Caenorhabditis elegans: one gene and its partner. The protein of the gene in region 1 purifies or fractionates together with the protein of each later gene. This does not show direct contact. Each region holds a gene or a part of one and is shown in the gene's direction. Other genes may lie near its edges.

What was found.
Region 2: the proteins of B0361.3 (region 1) and smg-6 fractionate together in Caenorhabditis elegans (co-fractionation; one large-scale study listed by BioGRID). This does not show direct contact.

What each region holds. Positions count from the first base shown.
Region 1 is NC_003281.10:7,277,776-7,286,519, forward strand, and holds B0361.3 (uncharacterized protein), read left to right. Parts: upstream 1-3,686; 5' UTR 3,687-3,688; coding exon 3,689-3,858; intron 3,859-3,903; coding exon 3,904-4,168; intron 4,169-4,218; coding exon 4,219-4,372; intron 4,373-4,439; coding exon 4,440-4,584; intron 4,585-4,630; coding exon 4,631-4,781; intron 4,782-4,833; coding exon 4,834-5,007; intron 5,008-5,057; coding exon 5,058-5,438; intron 5,439-5,515; coding exon 5,516-5,596; intron 5,597-5,650; coding exon 5,651-5,744; intron 5,745-5,791; coding exon 5,792-6,060; 3' UTR 6,061-6,184; downstream 6,185-8,744. Other genes in the region: Putative transporter B0361.11, read left to right, coding at 1-134, 180-283, 1,058-1,328, 1,379-1,656, 1,703-1,834, 2,145-2,248, 2,299-2,458, 2,887-3,016 and 2 more; pho-5 (Putative acid phosphatase 5), read right to left, coding at 6,332-6,477, 6,525-6,816, 6,860-7,072, 7,320-7,505, 7,553-7,699, 7,762-7,838, 7,890-8,097; ykt-6 (synaptobrevin family protein), read right to left, coding at 8,744-8,744.
Region 2 is NC_003281.10:2,470,281-2,478,744, forward strand, and holds the start of smg-6 (PIN domain-containing protein), read left to right. Parts: upstream 1-3,587; 5' UTR 3,588-3,600; coding exon 3,601-3,960; intron 3,961-5,061; coding exon 5,062-5,217; intron 5,218-5,829; coding exon 5,830-6,646; intron 6,647-7,324; coding exon 7,325-7,373; coding exon of another isoform or gene 7,374-7,377; exon of another isoform or gene 7,378-7,617; intron 7,618-7,750; coding exon 7,751-7,841; intron 7,842-7,892; coding exon 7,893-7,972; intron 7,973-8,031; coding exon 8,032-8,134; intron 8,135-8,464.

The sequences.
Region 1 (8,744 bases):
ATGGAGCCTATGGAAAATACCAGATATTTACTTATGTCCTCGTGCAAACTCTAAATTTTTTCTATTCTTCATCTATGTATATTATGAGTTTTGTGCAGCTTAATCTGGAAAAACAATGCGAGTATAAAAATGAGGTTGGAATTTAATTTTTATTTTATATAAAAATCGTGATATTGTAGACGATTCCTATAAGTGAAACTTGTCAAATTGAAACGGAATCCAGTAAAGCATTTGGAAATTTGAATGGAGAATATTGTGGAATTGCTGAAAATACACTTGTCAAGTGAGTATACTTTCGCATTCCACCTCTTTCCACGTTGCAAAAAATGTTCTTTTGAAAAACATTATTTGTAGTTTATGGAAATAGATTAAAAAATGTTCCATAATTTTTTGTCCACTAAAATTATAATAATCGGATTTTTTTCTGAATAAGGTGATGGTGATTATCCAGTGGCGGAATTTTGCAATTTTTCTACCAAACGTTTAATGCCAGGTCTCGACACGAACGAAGTATTTTATAATGGAAAATGCGCCAATACAGTAACCCGTTTCTTCAATTTTTGCGGTTTTTTCTGGAATACATTTTTTGTTGAAAAACAGTGATAAAACCTGAAAACTGAGGTTACTGTAGTCGTTAATGGTCCACACAGAAATCATAAACTGAAACAAATAAATATTTAAAAACTAAAATTTTCATCGGTCAAGTTGGTGTCGATGGGGGGCTTCTCAGATAACCCACCGACTCCGGACCGTATTGAAAGTGATCATTCAACATCTGCTTATATACAAACATTCTCCCAAGCGACCGACTTTTTGCGCTGAATTTCATAATTTCCTTTTTCCTTTCGTCTCTGTGTCTACAACCATGCAAGTACTGGAAAAATGTCTGGCGCTGGGAGAGTATGTGGTATATAAACAACCAAGAGAAGACAACTTTCAATTCGGTCCGGAGTCAATGGGTTATCTTTCAAAACCCCCCATTGACAACAACTTGACCGGCGTTTTTTGCAATTTTGTATATTATTAGGACTCAAATATCAAAACAAAACATTTTCAGTGTCACGAATCAAAAAGCATCTACGAATTTGCTCGTAGATTTTGATCTCTCATGTTCTCATTGGTTTTTTCAAGAATTTGGATTGACAATTTTCACGATTGGAGCAGTGATTGCAGTGCCTTTTATGTCAATGTTAGCTGATAGATATGGAAGAAAACCAATTATTGTGACAACAGCAATTCTGGCTTTTTTGGCAAACATGGCTGCATCCTTTAGTCCAAATTTTGCAATTTTTCTAATTCTGAGAGCATTTATTGGAGCTTGTAGTGATGTGAGCTTCATCTTTTGAAGATCTAAAACAACTGAACATATCAATTTCAGTCGTATCTTTCTGTTGCAAGTGTTGCCACATGTGAATACTTGTCTGAAAAGGCAAGAGCCTGGATTACGGTAGTCTACAACGTGGCATGGTCTCTTGGTATGGTATGGACACTTTTGGTAACTCTGATGACTGATGACTGGCGATGGAGATATTTTATTGTATCATTACCCGGTGTTTATGGTTTTGCTTTATGGTATTTCTTACCCGAGAGTCCTCACTGGCTGATAACGAAGAATAAAACCGAAAAGTTGAAAAAGTACATTAAAACTGCAAATAGGTGGGCTCTAGTTAAGAATATAGAAGTATTCTAATAACGTTTTTAGAGTGAATAACGTATCACCTGAATTCAATGATTGCCAACAAAGTTCACATCATGAGGAAAAACATGAATCGTTCAAAGCCTTGCTGGGGAGTAAAAAATTGATTTGGCTCCTTTTTGCAAACGGATTTATCGAGTAAGTTGGGAAACTATAAAAAGCCAATAAATGGGCCGGTCTATTGTGGTTATTTATTAGGTGACTTCTGTTCAAGATAATGTCGGGAGCTCCATAATACATTATGACTAGGGATGTAGGCATGTAGGTAGATATGTAGGTATGTCTCATGAGCATTTATACTGTCTTTATGCATGGCTACTTGTTTTTCTGTACACTACGATTTTAGATTAACTTTATCTAAAGAATTCAAAAGTTCGCAAGTCTGGTTTTCCAATTTATTTAGAAAAAACTGATCCATTTTGTCGTTCTCCCAATTTTAATTATTCAGAATGGTGATTTCCCTGGTCTATTTTGCAATTTCCTTTATGTCCGTTGAGCTTGGCGGTGATCAGGTCCAGGCATTCCTCTATTCATCTTTGATTGAGATTCCAGGTGAACTGTTTCAGAAATCCTGGAATTTCCATCAATTCTTCTACTTTCAGCTGGTCTTGCCGTAATTCCATTAATGATGAAAATGGGTCGAAAGATGATTGTCATTTGGTGCCTTGTATTTCAAACTCTTGCTCTTATTGGAGTTACAGTATTTCTTGATTCTTATGAATTTAAGCTTGTCATCATGCTTGTAGCAAAAGTTATGGCCACGTGAGTTTCTTGCGTTATTTATAGATCAAATTTTTCAAGCCAAAAAGTATTTTTCATTAAAAATAACGTAATTTATTGTATTAGTAGAAATTTCCATGAAAATCCTATCAAAATTGACGAAATTCAGTATCAAGTGGTCAGCAAGTCGCTACTCAGCCAATTACCAAACTGTTATAACTATGTTTAAAGTGATTGTAGAGTTTTAGTTTAAGAGACAAAGTTGTAGAACATAACATTTGACATGACATGAAATATGTAATAAGTTTGATACAAATACTGAACATTGTCTCCAGATAAGGTCCTCAAATGGCTTCGTATCACATTCTAACCTATACCGTTCAAAGCATAATTTGAATCTACAAGTATTTCTAACCAAATTTATGAAATGCACCGAGGAATAGCAAATACGGTTTCTAGCATATTTTCAGAATAATATACTCTGTTCATCCAATCTGGGCAACTGAACAATTCCCAACATCTGTAAGATCACTGTGTTTCTCATTGATGAACATTCCACAAAGTATGGGAATAATAATGTCACCATATGTCAAACATATTGTAAGTCTCGAGAGAATTCAAAGAATTACTCAACATTGTTCAGGTTATGTCACCAAACTGGATTCCATTTGTGGTCATTGCGCTTTTCAGTTTCATTTCTGCAACGTTGGCATTCATGTTGCATGAGACAAAGGTTAGTTGGTGATTTTTGAAACAAAAATATACATTTCTATTCAGAACAAAAAGTTGCCTACCGACATTGAAAGTCTCTCTTATCCATCGGAAACGAATGATTTGTCAGCGTATCGTAGAAGCAAATCATCATCTTCCTCGGTGTCAGCATTGTCGAAAACAAGTGTTCGATCAAAGAAGACGTTGTCAAGTGAAAGTGTCAGCAAGAAACTTGATACTGTTAACTTTTCTGACAAAGAATACAGAATATAAGAATAAACACATTTCTTCCCGAAACAACTTGTATAATATGTTCACTTCTTTTTTTCCGAAGAATTCAACTAATTTTAGAAGAATGAGAGAACCGAAATGCCAAATTCGAGATATGATAAATACCATGGAACCTACAGTACTCCACAAAATTGTAATCCCTTTTTCCGACGACACTCCGTTCTTACGCAACGCATGCTGTTTATCGTAAATCAGCATCCACGTTTTTACACTGAATTTTTAAATTCAATTTATTTTCAAAACGATTGTTGCAATAATTATAATTTAGCCATGACAATTCATCATCATGGTTCTGCTGAACGTAAATCAATAGATGATTATTCGGATATACCACGAGGAGAAGCATGCAAGCAGCTTGTGGAACAGCTCAACCGAAATTTATACTCTTTGAATTCCAATATGCAGACAACCTTCAAACAAATGGTACATGTGGAAACACGGTTTGAAAAAGCATTCAAGATTAGATATAAATTGTTTTTTTTCAGAATTGGACATGAAATCTCTCTTTTGTCTTCGTGCCTTCAAGAAAATATGTCGAAATGTACAATGCCATATGCGCCACACGAAGAACAACTCGTTCAATTAGATTCTGCAAAAAGAAACTTAAAACAATTGACTCGATTACTAGATGCTCGTCAGATATTTGATGCAGAAGACAGTCAATCTGAAAAGTTAAAGGACAGGGCAATTGATGATTCGTTGCTTCCGACATTGGTGGCAATTGGAGATAATTTAAAAATTATCAAAGAGGTTTTCTGGTTTTCTTTAATCATAGCATTCTAATAATGCATATTATTCAGCTCGGCGCTAAGCCAAAGTTCGATGCTGAGACTTATCACAAAACAAAGGATCGCTATTTAGCATGGAAAGGAACTGAGTTTGCTGTGAAGTTCGACACTCCTGGAGGGCTTGATGATATTTTCGATGCATTTACAACTTTGAATTCTGTCAATGGTACATTTTAATCTTTAAAAAATCTGATAATTTTCAAAATCTAAAACCTTTAAAAATTATTATTCAGATTTCTACCGTCTCTACCAGCATCATTTCGATCAATCTCTAAACAACTTGAATAAAAACTCAGGAATTGAAGATGAAAAGTCGTTAAAAGAAATGGGAACTGTTTTTGTAACCAAAGCTGCGGAACATTTCAGAACTCATATTGGGTAGTTAATTTCCGAAATGTTTCTTTACGTTAAAATTACATTTTAGTTCGTTGTGCAAATATTGTGATGAAAACGAAGCATTCACTAGACTTCTTGATGCTTGGAAAAATTACATTAAAAATGGAACTTTGGAGAAGCTTTTTGAACAATCTATGGAGAACTATAACAATTATGATTTGCTTTCAGACTTGAAATCTGTAAGTTGTAAAACTGAAAATGTATAACCTCAAAAATAGTTTATTCTTACAGGTAGTTACAAAAGCATACGAAGAGTTTGAAACAAACACAGCTGGAGGACCAGAAGACGACGAAGAGTCCATTGAAAATATTGAGAGAATAATTGTAGATGGTCTGATGGAAAGTGCGAAGAAACCATTATCTGAAAAGCTCCGATCGATGGTTGAGCCACCACCATTGAATTTTGTTAGTAAATCATAATTTTATTGAGCAATAATTTTATAAACTAATTTCAGAGATCAGTAGCTGAAGTGATGTCATCTCTTGAAAACTTTGCCTACTTGCTGCGAGAGATTTCTCATCAACTTCTGGAAATCTATTTAGAGGATGAAGGCCGAGAGTTCATGATTTCTATTTTGAAACCAATATTCACGGATTACACAATGCGATTATGTCGAATGGAAGATAATTCGACTCCAAAAGTTAAATTGGAAGAATATCTCGAAAGAATTGCGTTGGCTGGACAACTATCAACGATTGTAGAAGAGTACAAAGATCAAACTGAAATTAAAAATGGATTGGAGTTGAAGAATGCGAAGAAATGGATGAATGAGAGAGTGAAGGATGCAATCCGTGCCAGTCATCGATTTGTGACAGATAAGATGCCTAACCACGGAGTAAGTACTGTGATTGGTTTATTTCAAACAAATTTTTTTATTTTTTGATCCTTGAAAGAAATTTATTCCATTTTCAGAGTGAGACTTACAAGGAAAGCGCCGACATGGCAAAATCTGCACTTCCAACTCCTCAAGATTTTGTGGTCACAGCTACACAGGTATGTATTTTTAAAATAGGTTTTTTTTTTTAAATTCAACTATTAAAAATTCAGAATCTTCTACATCTTCTCCGTTTCTGGGAAGAAGCATTGGCAAACGAGAATACAAAAGTCGCACTGATAGCGCATGTTATGGATATTAATAAAGGTATTTTAAAATTTTTTAGTTTTTTTTTCAAAAAAACAATGTTCTAGAATCTCTGGAAACTCCTGATGACGACGCCATCTTTGCGGCAATTCTTGATAGGATTGCGAGTCATGTGGTCAAAAAGCTTCTGCAATCTATCAACGATGTCTGGTTGACTGATGGAAAAACAGCTACACTTTCGAAGGGACTCGTTAAAGAATTCCTATGTGACGCTGAATATCTTCGTGATGCCCTTGTTGATTTGCGAGCGGGAACCCATGATAATCTTGATTCGACGATCAATAAACTCCGGGAGCAGCTGAAGACGATGTCGTAATTTGAGTTTTCATCTGAATTTCTATTAGACTAACCGGGTTGTATTTATTGTATTTAATTATGGTTTTTTGTTTTTGGATGTGATATGAAACAATTTATTGCAAAAATAAAATCTTTGGTTCGAGATGTCTTTGGCTCATTAAAAATGCCGGGATATTCAAAGTTTGGAATGTATCAAGGTTTCACGGGATATGTCTTTAAAAGCTGACTCAGAAAATGATATTCAACATGAAGGGTGCGATATAAACTATTTTCAAAAGTAAAACAAAATCTCAATCACTATCGTCTCCACCCAGCATCGGAGCAGTGTCATCGCGTAGGCCGTCGACGGGGAATCTCAAAATCTTCCGCTTTTGTTTCTCAACGAAAAGCATGGTACACGAGCAAACTGTAGAGATAACCAGAATGGATATTATAACTGAAAATTTACAATATGAATCTAGAATTAAAAAATAAAAGACTCGCCTAAATAAATAAATTGGAAGCTTGTTTTCAGACCGCATTCGGCTTCCCAATCCTCTGGAAAGTATTTTTTAAGATCATCTCCGAGCTTTTGGAGTGTGCATGGATCATCACAACCAGGAATCGAATATTCGATAAGCCGATCAATATCTGTCTCATTTTTATGAAAAACTCGTATCAAGCGAGTTTCGTTCGCGAGTTTGTGCATTTCGATGAGCAAACATGTTGCATATTTTGGATAAATATCGTAGAACACTCCAAGTGTCGCGAGAAGAGCTGCGATTGTTGAATCGTGCTGAAATTTTTTTTGTTTGAAAATGTTTTCAAAAAGTATTTACCGCAGAATACGCGTAAAACTTTGCTTCTTTTCCTAGTGATCCAGAAGCTTTATCACTAAATCGATGAAATATTTCCTCGAGAAGGGTCCCACCACGAAGACGTCGAAGAGTATCTGTATGGAATTCCAACTGAGATACTTCATTGTACAGTTGATCAACTCGTTCGAATATACTCGAGTTCATCCATGATGGCCATGTTATGTTGTTTTGTTTCTAAATTAATCCTTTTACAATAAGATTTTCAGTGATATAACATTTTTTGATTTAAGAATTTTTTGATTTTTCTGCGAAAGCTTTTGATTGAGAAGAATATATCCAAACTAAAAGTTAAAACCAAAAGTACGGTATCCGGTTTCGAAACGGAATTTTTTGTAAAATTCGAAGCGCCTTTAAAAAGTCGTGTCGAGACCAGGTACCGTATTGTTAGCGCAAAAAAAAGAATTTCGATTAAATTAAATACCTCACAAAACAAATTATCAAATATCCTCCAGGTAGCCTTTAGCTCCATATTTGGCAAATTAAGCTTTTGGGAGAAAAAGCTTAATTCTCGTGCGAACTTCTTTCGAATTCCATTAGCTTTAGTTGATTTCCATTGTGCATTCATCTCAATTTCAGCAGTCGGACAACTTGCTTCTTCGTAGAGTTCCTGAAATGTTTATTATTTTTTTGAATTTTAAATTTTTAGGCAATTACTTTGTCTGTTGGTTTCGATATCGTATGAACAGGAATTGGCTGCCACATTAATCCTCCAGCGATTGGATATTTCGGTGGGAATAGTCCTGCCATATTCGCTTGAGCCGACATTAATGTTCTATTGTAATCAGAACTACGAATATAAATCTGCAAATTTGATTTTTTTAAAAACATTTCAGAGTTTTTTAATTTCGAAAATAAAAGCATACAGCATTTCTATTGAACTTTTCCCCGAGCCACGAGCCATATCGCCTTTTGAGCCATTGACCCAGACGATATTGTTGGGCTGAAAAATATTAAAATTTTGCTGAATTTCTAATAAAAAGTTCAATAGTACCTGCTCCTTGCTCGGTCAACTCCCCCAATCCCTCAGGCCATTTCGTGATGTCATCCGGAAAGAGAAGCTCCGCCGGAGTCCGATCCCCATGTCTCCATACAGTGTGCACATATTCCAGGGTGTCCGTATTTGCTTGAATTGGAACTTCTTTATACACTACTGCATTGATTCCTGATGCTCCGATAAGGAGCACGAGAAGGAGAAGCATGGATGGCTGAACTTTAGAGAAATGTTTTTTTTTAATTCGGAACTGTGAAGTAAGAATTTCGAAAAGGCTATAATCCTGTGAAAATAAATTCCAAATTTAAAAACAGTATTCTAAGACGAATTCATTGGGTTTCACTTAAATTTGAAAAAAAAATTAAATAATAAAATACATCGGAACAGAGACATGGGGAAAAGAAGACAAATCTGATATATTCAAAAAAAAAAGAGAAAAATTGATAAAACATTGACGGCTTTTGGCACCATTTTGTGCGTGATTGGTGATTGGACTGTGAATGATTTGTTCTAAATAAGTCCTAACGGGAATGATTTTTTCAAGGAAAAATGTGAAGAAAAAAGTTTTGAAAGTTGAGCGAGAATTTACAAACAAAGAGAGACAGGAAAGGAAATTGTGGGAGAGAAGTATGAAGCAACTAGCAATCAAATGTGGAGACTAGTCGGAATGGTGGAAACTTGGGAATTTCTGTGAAAAGTCAAGAATTTCCATACATGAATATTGGCGAGCTAAAGAGAGAACCACAGAAACTCAAAGGGAGAAAATTTCCAAGAAATACCGAGAAGCAAACTAAATATAGAATTGTGATTGAAAGCAAATTTCAACGCAATTCGAGAGTATGAATATCAATAATT
Region 2 (8,464 bases), 4.8 Mb from region 1:
TAAGGCCAGCATCTCAAATTATGAAACCTACACTAACAGAAGTCTAGCACTGAGTTTTTAACGTATCTTATCATAATATGATAAATTCTAAAATAATTGGTTCAGAGTATCTGAACATAAAACTACTCGGTAAAACGTTGCAACTTCATAGCACACTCTTGCAACTTTTCAGGCATCCTTTTATGTTTTAACTTCTTAACAAACCTCTGCAACTTCTTCGCAAAGATTCAATAAAATTGGTTCTGGCGACGCACACGCTGTTTTTTAGAAAGCTCCTGCAAAGTTCTGCAGATTCCTGCAGACTTTAAACACGCGAAAATCGCGTTGCGGATAGGTTTTTATTCGAATAGTTTTTCCTATTTTCTCGGATTATTTAAAGATTTTTTGTTTTTTAAATGTATTTTTAATACTTTTTTCACAAATGGTTGGAATTGGAAATGGCTGGACCCAGCCTACCCCAGGCAGACCCAGCCTACCCCAGGCAGACCCAGCCTACCCCAGGCAGACCCAGCCTACCCCAGGCAGACCCAGCCTACCCCAGGCAGACCCAGCCTACCCCAGGCAGACCCAGCCTACTCCAGGCAGACCCAGCCTACCCCAGGCAGACCCAGCCTACCCCAGGCAGACCCAGCCTACCCCAGGCAGACCCAGCCTACCCCAGGCAGACCCAGCCTACTCCAGGCAGACCCAGCCTACCCAGGCAGACCCAGCCTACCCCAGGCAGACCCAGCCTACCCCAGGCAGACCCAGCCTACCCCAGGCAGACCCAGCCTACCCCAGGCAGACCCAGCCTACCCCAGGCAGACCCAGCCTACCCCAGGCAGACCCAGCCTACCCCAGGCAGACCCAGCCTACCCCAGGCAGACCCAGCCTACTCCAGGCAGACCCAGCCTACCCCAGGCAGACCCAGCCTACCCCAGGCAGACCCAGCCTACCCCAGGCAGACCCAGCCTACCCCAGGTAGACCCAGCCTACCCCAGGCAGACCCAGCCTACCCCAGGCAGACTCAGCCTACCCCAGACAGGCCTAGCCTACCCCAGACAGGCCTAGCCTACCCCAGACAGGCCTAGCCTGCCCCAGGCAGCCTAGCCTACCCCAGGCAGGCATAGCCTACCCCAGGCAGGCCTAGCCTACCCCAGGCAGGCCTAGCCTACCCCAGGCAGGCCTAGCCTACCCCAGGCAGGCCTAGCCTACCCCAGGCAGGCCTAGCCTACCTCAGGCAGGCCTAGCCTACCCCAGGCAGGCCTAGCCTACCCCAGGCAGGCACCATGATAGCATCAGTCAGAGAGGAAACAGTGAACCTCTCAGAACCCGAAAACGCCATCACTCAGCAGACAAACCAAGACTCCTTCAGGAAGGAGTACTGGAGAGTTGGGCTTACAACGTTCGAACGTGCGGTTTTACCCGGCTCCCTCACACTTAGCGAGGGTCGAAGACATGCGGCACCCAACAACGACCGCCCAAAATTCACCGATAACCCAGGAAGCTCCCGAAGGCTTGTACCACACTATGTACCACATACAAAATATTTGAGAAAGGATGAAAACTGAGAAAAGACGAAAAAACTTATTGCTCACCCTAATACTTATTTTAATTTCTAACATCGCTGATAACGTCTAACATTCTAAAAAACCTCCACAGCGAACCCCTTCCATTCCCACGGTCCTCTTCTTCTCCGCCAAAGGTCATACTCATCTTCCCATAGTCCGCAATTACACCCCCTCCCCCCTCGACGCACAATTGCGTACCCCACCCTCCTCTCAGCGTCTCCAGCCGTCATCCCTTTTCTCTGCCCAATTCATATCACACATTTTCTCTTTCTCTCTTCCCATTCACTCTTTTCTTTTCGTTCCCTGTTTTTTTGTTACAATGCACGTGTGTGTTTATACTGCTCTCTGAGGGAGAAAAAATCAGTAAATATATCATTTCTGTGAGGTCCGTTTTTTTTTAGTCCAAATAGGCTGTAGTAGGCTGAAAAAGCTTACTTTAATTACTATATTAATCGAAAAAGAACGTAAATTGACAACATTTATTGCTCAAATTTGAAAAATTGCTGCATTTTTGAGCATTGTAATTAATTACAACACACATATATATATATAATTTTAAAAAATGACGAAATTTAATTTTTGAGCAAAAAGAATTGTCAAATTTCGTTTTAGTAGTACTTTTGTACTTTTGTTTAAAATCCCAATTAGAAACGTTACTTTGAAAACTACCATATTCTTGAATTTTTTATTTCAAATTTCGGTTATAAACGCTATTTAATTCCCAATTTCCAATGAGCCTCTACTAGAGTCTTCCCCAATTAGAAATCGATACCGAAAATTCCATTGTTACCCCCCATGTACTTTCCCATGTCTCTATTTGATGGGTGGCTAATCAAACAATTACCCCTTCCCTCCCCCCACCCCGCCGACGTGTATGTTCTGTTTAGCTTAACAGAAGGTACCCGCTCCACCAGTGATAAGAATTGTTTCACTGTGTTGTATGTGTTTGCATTTCGGAACAGGAAAACGTTTGGTGGTGGGGGGACATAAAAGTTACATAAAACTTTTTTTTTGTTACTTTGCGAAAATCGAAATAAAAGTAGCGATCTTGTGATATCGGAGAAATTTAGGGTTTACTAGTATTCTTGGGAGGGAAAATCTCAAAAAATCCGAATTTCCAGACCCAAAAGGCCCTTAATTTATATAAAGTATGGTTTTCAGAACTTAATAGCTTGGTTTTAACTATTCATATTAGTTTCAGCCTAAAAATATGACATTTTTTAAAGTTTTAACCAAAAAGTTTCTCGTCGAACCTATGAGTTTTCCCACGTGGTGTGGTAGGTTGTAACGGTGTGATCTACAAAAATGCGGGAATTTTTTTCCCCAAAAAATGTGATGTCAGCACAGTGTTAACCATGCGAAATCAGTTGAGAAGTCTGCGGCTAAATTCGCGCATTTTTTGTAGATCTACGTAGATCAAACCGATATGGGGCATTCTGACATCACACCAATTTTCAGCTTTTTCCTGGATTTCTAGGTACAAAATTGAAGTTTTCAACGCTTTTTTGGAGATTCCCACGGATTTTTAGCTATTTTCAACGGCGGTTTTCGGTTTTCCAACACCCACAGCTTTAGAAAATGCAAAATCCCGTCTAAAATCTAGAGGAATGACGAATTTTTGCGAAAAAATCTGTTTATCCTCTGCTCATCCCCTCGTAAAGCCCGCTGTCAACACCTTTTCTTAATTAAATTTTTTTGCTCCAACTCCGTTCTCACGTGGTGCCAGGCTGTCCCATTACGGTTTGATCTACAAAAAAATGCGGTTTTTTTTGCCCAGAAAAATGTGAAACCATACAAAATCAGTTGAGAACTCTGCGCCTCTTCTCCCGCATTTTTTGTAGATCTACGTAGATCAAGCCGAAATGAGACACTTTGACACCGCGTGCTTTCTCTTCAATTATAGCTTTTTCTCCTGAACTTTTGCAGTTTTATAGCGTAGGTAGGCAGGCAGGTAGGCATGCCTGAATCTGTATTTTCCTTTTTTTGTATGTTACATGCTTCTCTTTTATGATATATCTCAAAATTCCAAATTTCCAGCTCACCAAGCAAAATGAACGGAGACACAGACGCCTCGTCATCTAGGACGGGAGCTCCACGAAAACCGCGCCCAGAAATTCAAATCTACCGTCCAGGAATGCTCCGCCAGGGAGGGAGCACGAAAAGCTTGAGCTCTACGAACGAAGAAGCACGACCACCACGCCCGGAGAAGTTGAACACAACAACGACGACGATGTCGGGCAATTCCAGACGAAGAAGCAACGATACGGACAGTGTGACGTCACGTGGTGGATCTGGAAGTACGACGCCCGATGCAAATGTGATTAATGCCATGAATGAGCGAGGTGGAGGAAGGAATCGATTTGAGAAAGGCTATCGACAACAACAGAGAACAGATGGGCCATCGAATTATGTAAGTTTTTATCTTATCGCTCAAAAACCAAAAGTTCTACCCTAACACTACAGAAAAAAACTGAAATTACCTAAAACCCTCAAAAAATTTTGGAAAAATTCATTATCTAGCACGGGGAAACGGTGTCAGAGTGCCTCATTTTGACGTGATCTTCGTGGATCTACAAAAAATGCGGGAGTTGAGACGCAGAGTTCTCAACTAATTTTGCATGGTTAAGAACGTGCTGGCGCCACATTTTTGGTAATAAAAATTCCCGTATTTTTCGTAGATCAAACCGTGATGGGACATCCTGACACCACCCTCAGCAAATTTTGAAAAACTAATATTTTAGCATGATAAAAGCCCCAAATTCAGCTGAAAATGTCTCAAAATACCTTAAAAGCACTAGAAAACGACTTGAATTAACGGAAAATCTTAAAATCTATGGCAAAACTGATATTTTTACGGGAAAAGCCAAAAATTTTCAGTAAATCTCTCGAAACCCAAAGTCTTCACTATGAAGTAGCTGAAATTGACTGAAAACCCTCAAAAATTGTTTAAAAACTCATTATTAGCACGAGAAAATACCTTAGTTGGCTGAAAATCCCCAAAAACGCCAAAAATCCAAATATTTAACTCTAAAGCCACTGTGGAACGGCTGAAGGTAACTCAAAATCCTCAAAATTTGAGAAATCACGTGGTATCAAGTTGCCCCATAACGGTTTGATCTACAAAAATGCGGGAATTTTTTGGCCAAAAAATGTGACGCCAGCACGTTCTTAACAATGCGAAATCAAATGAGAACTCTGCGTCTCTTTTCCCGCAATTTTTGTAGAACTACGTAGATCAAGCCAAAATTGGAGACTCTGACACCACGTGAGATCACGTATTTTGGCTCTGGAATTTAGCTGGAAAAGGTCTCAAATTCTCATGAAACCCGACTGAACCCAACTTCAAACTGGCTGAAAACTTATATTTTGTCTCGAAGACTCCAGGAAAAAAGCTAAGAATTGCTCAAGATTGAACTCAAATCCCCAGAACTAGACAAAAGTCTGAAATTGACTGAAAAGTTGCACACCCCTACAAATGTCCCAAATCCCACGAAAACCATTCCAATTCCAGAATTCCACACAATCCCTCTACGACACACGGCAACATGGTGGCTATATGGAGTACCAGGGCAACCACCGATCGAATCACCGGAATAATGGGAGATACAGTAACCAGCAGCATCAGCAGCATCGGCAACCGTTCGAACGACCCGGCGGAAATCATTATGTAGGTTATCAGGTTTTCTTAATGGAAGTGTCTGGGGGGGAGAAGGGGTGAATTAATTAGAATTAATGGGATGTGTGGGATGTGAAGTGATCAGTAAGGTATGATGGGAATATGGAAACTTTAGGAAAAAAGAAATTTTGGGGAAAAAGAGATAAATCGCTCAAATTCTAGTCTAAAACTGTAAAACTTAGTAGAAATTGTACCAAACAGCTGAGAAAAGCTTTAGAAATTAGCCCACTTCAAGAAAATTCACGTCTAGTACAGAAAGCTAGAGATTTTATCAATCTGGACAGTTTTCCATACAAATTCGAGGTTTTTACTGGTGAAAACTGTCAGAATTTGAGAAATTTGACAATCTGAACTTAGAATTACGTTTAATACCGCCTTAAGAAGGCATGATACCGTTTCGAATTGTAAAACTCTGAACAACCTTAGAAAATTGTCCGTTCTCGAAAAAAAACATAAATTTTTGCGGAAATCACCATTGAGTACGATAGTCAAGTACGCAAACACGACGCGCATTTACAAAATTGCGTATCAAATATTTTTTGAGCTAAAGCTTTTTTTGTTCAAACAACCAAACTTTTAAAGCTAAATCTTTTCAATTTCCAGACCCGCGGCTTCAACGAGCGAGCTTCCATGCGCGGGGACGGCGCCATCGCCCGACGTCCTCAAGGATCCCGTCGCCAACGCAACGATTCCATCAACTCTACCCAATCAGAAATGCCACCTCAAACCGGTGCTCAACTTCACATTGACACCTCATTCGACTCGGCATCTCAGTGTGGAGCCTCATCGAATTTCTCGATGAATTCCCTTGGCGAGGCGTTCAGTTTCGAGGAAATGTGCCAGAACCTGCAGAATTTCGCGTCGATGGATTGGAGTAAAGAGGTGGAAAATGAGTTTGCAATGCAGAAAGAGCAGGAGGAAGAGGAAGAGCGACGGATGGAGCAGAAGCTTCAAGAAGCTGCTGCTCAGGAAGCTCAGAAAGCGGCGTCTCCGAGGAGAAATAACCGAAGGAATAATCGAAGAGGTGGAGGCAACAGTCGGTACCATCCCGATGAATCCGACAGAGAAAGCTCGTTCGGTGGAAGTATCGCCGAGGAAAAAGAGGAAGAAGAAGCCGAGGAAGAGCTCAAAAGTGGTGAGAGAACTCCGACTTCTGTGCGAAGCGGCAACTCTTATAATCCACGTGTTCTGTACCAGAGAACACGTGGAGCCAACGACGAGAACCATCCGAAACGAAGAGACGCCGCCGTGGAGAAGAAGCCGAAAGAGCCGAGACGGTACCGCGGTGAGCATGACGATCGGGATGATGATGCTTCGGAGTATCATGGAACGCTGGAGAACCATATGTCGTCGGGACGTCTTGCTGGGAGAATTCAGATTGTGCAGCGCTCGCAGAATGGGACGGAAGCCGGGGGAAATCGTGAGTTTTTTTGGGAATTTTGGAAATTTTTCAGCCAGTTTCAGTGTAAAAAATAGAGGAATAATCACGGAAAAGCTGAAAAAATCGATAAAATTCTGCGTTTTATCAGTGGAACGCACTTGCATTGTCCTCTATTTTGAATGTCTTTTATTTATCGAAATAGTAGAATTTGGATAAAAATTCTGATTTTATCTACACAAGTGCGGTTTAGCACAAAAAATTGAATTTTTTTTAAATAAAAAGTGCAAACGCGCCCCACTGTGAAAAATCGATAATTTCAAGAAAAATTGAATTTTCTGCGATTTTTTCTGGAAATTTTTGAATTTTAAGCCTTGAATCCGGTTATTTTTTCTACTTCTTAACGAAAATTTCTGAAAAATCGGCAAATTTGTGATTTTTCATCTATTTTCGGAATAGTTTTTTGCGGGAAGTTGAGATTTTCGAATTTTTTTCCGACTTTTCGATCTTTCTTTGATTTCAAATCGGCTTATTTTAATATTCTTCTTCAAAAAGTGCTGAAAATTGACTGAAAACCGACTGAAACCCTTCTAGAACCCCTAAAAATGCAAGTGCGCCCCACCGCACCGCAACTTTTTGAGAGCGAAAATCGAATTTCGAACTGATTTTCTCCGTTTTTCGGCTCAATTTCTTATCAAATAATCAATATTTTTTGTTCAGGAAACCGCCAATCATCCGAAGAAAAGCCGAGAACCTACCAAAAGCGCAGGTGAACTGAAAATGCACTGATTTTTTACGATTTTCTACCGCTTTACCCCCTTTTTTACCCCCCAACCAGTGTCCTCTGGGATCTCCAATTAATAATTATTCTCACATTTCTAATCAATTGTCCATTCCAACAACTAATCTCTGTGTGATCTACTGCCTTTTTGATCTGTTTTTATTTCTGTCTTTTTTTCCGAATTTTTTTTCTAATAATTTGGAAATTTTTAATAAAAATCAATAATATCCTCTGTTTGCTATACATTTTTCGCTAACCGTAAATTTGCTTTGGGTTTCTAATATTTTTTGGTGAAAAACAATTTTTTTTTTGGATTTTTCAAAAAAAAATGTTTTTTTGAATTTTATAAAAATCGATATTTTCAGCCAAAACCAGTCAGAAATGGCTAACCGAGCTGAAATTAACCGGCGAAGACAGGAAGATATCGATCGTAATGAGGGAAAACAGATTAGAGAAGTGATTTTACCGCCGCCGGCAAACCCAAAAAAAAATCGATTTTTTTTCCAGATTAGCGAAAAAATCGAGAAATTATCAGCGCCCGTTAAGAAGCGCGACCTGAAATCCGCTGAAAAAATGGCTGAAATTAGGTAGATCAAAGAAAAAATTGATTTATCGATTTTTTACCTCGAAAAATCGATATTTTCAGCATGGAATTGGCTAATATCTACTCGCAAGTCATCATTCATGACGTCATCTACTCATTTACGGCAGGTCTCGAGCAGAAATTGTTTCGACAAGCATTTTATAAGGTTTTTACAACAAAAAATCGATAATTTGAGTGAAAATTACTGGAAAATCGATAAAGTGTCCAATAGAGCGTACTTGCATTTTTTTTATTCGAAAAATTTGAAATTTCTGGTTTTCCTGCCAATTTTGATGGTTTTAAAGAAGAAAAATGAAAAAAAAAATCAAATTTTCGACGAAAAATCAATTTGAAAAATTCTCACTAAAAAATCGAGAAATTTTTAAAATTTCCCACTGAAAAATCGATAATTTTTTTTGAATTTTAAACCGAAAATCGATAATTTTTTTTGAATTTTAAACCGAAAAATCGATAATTTTTTTGAATTTTAAACCGA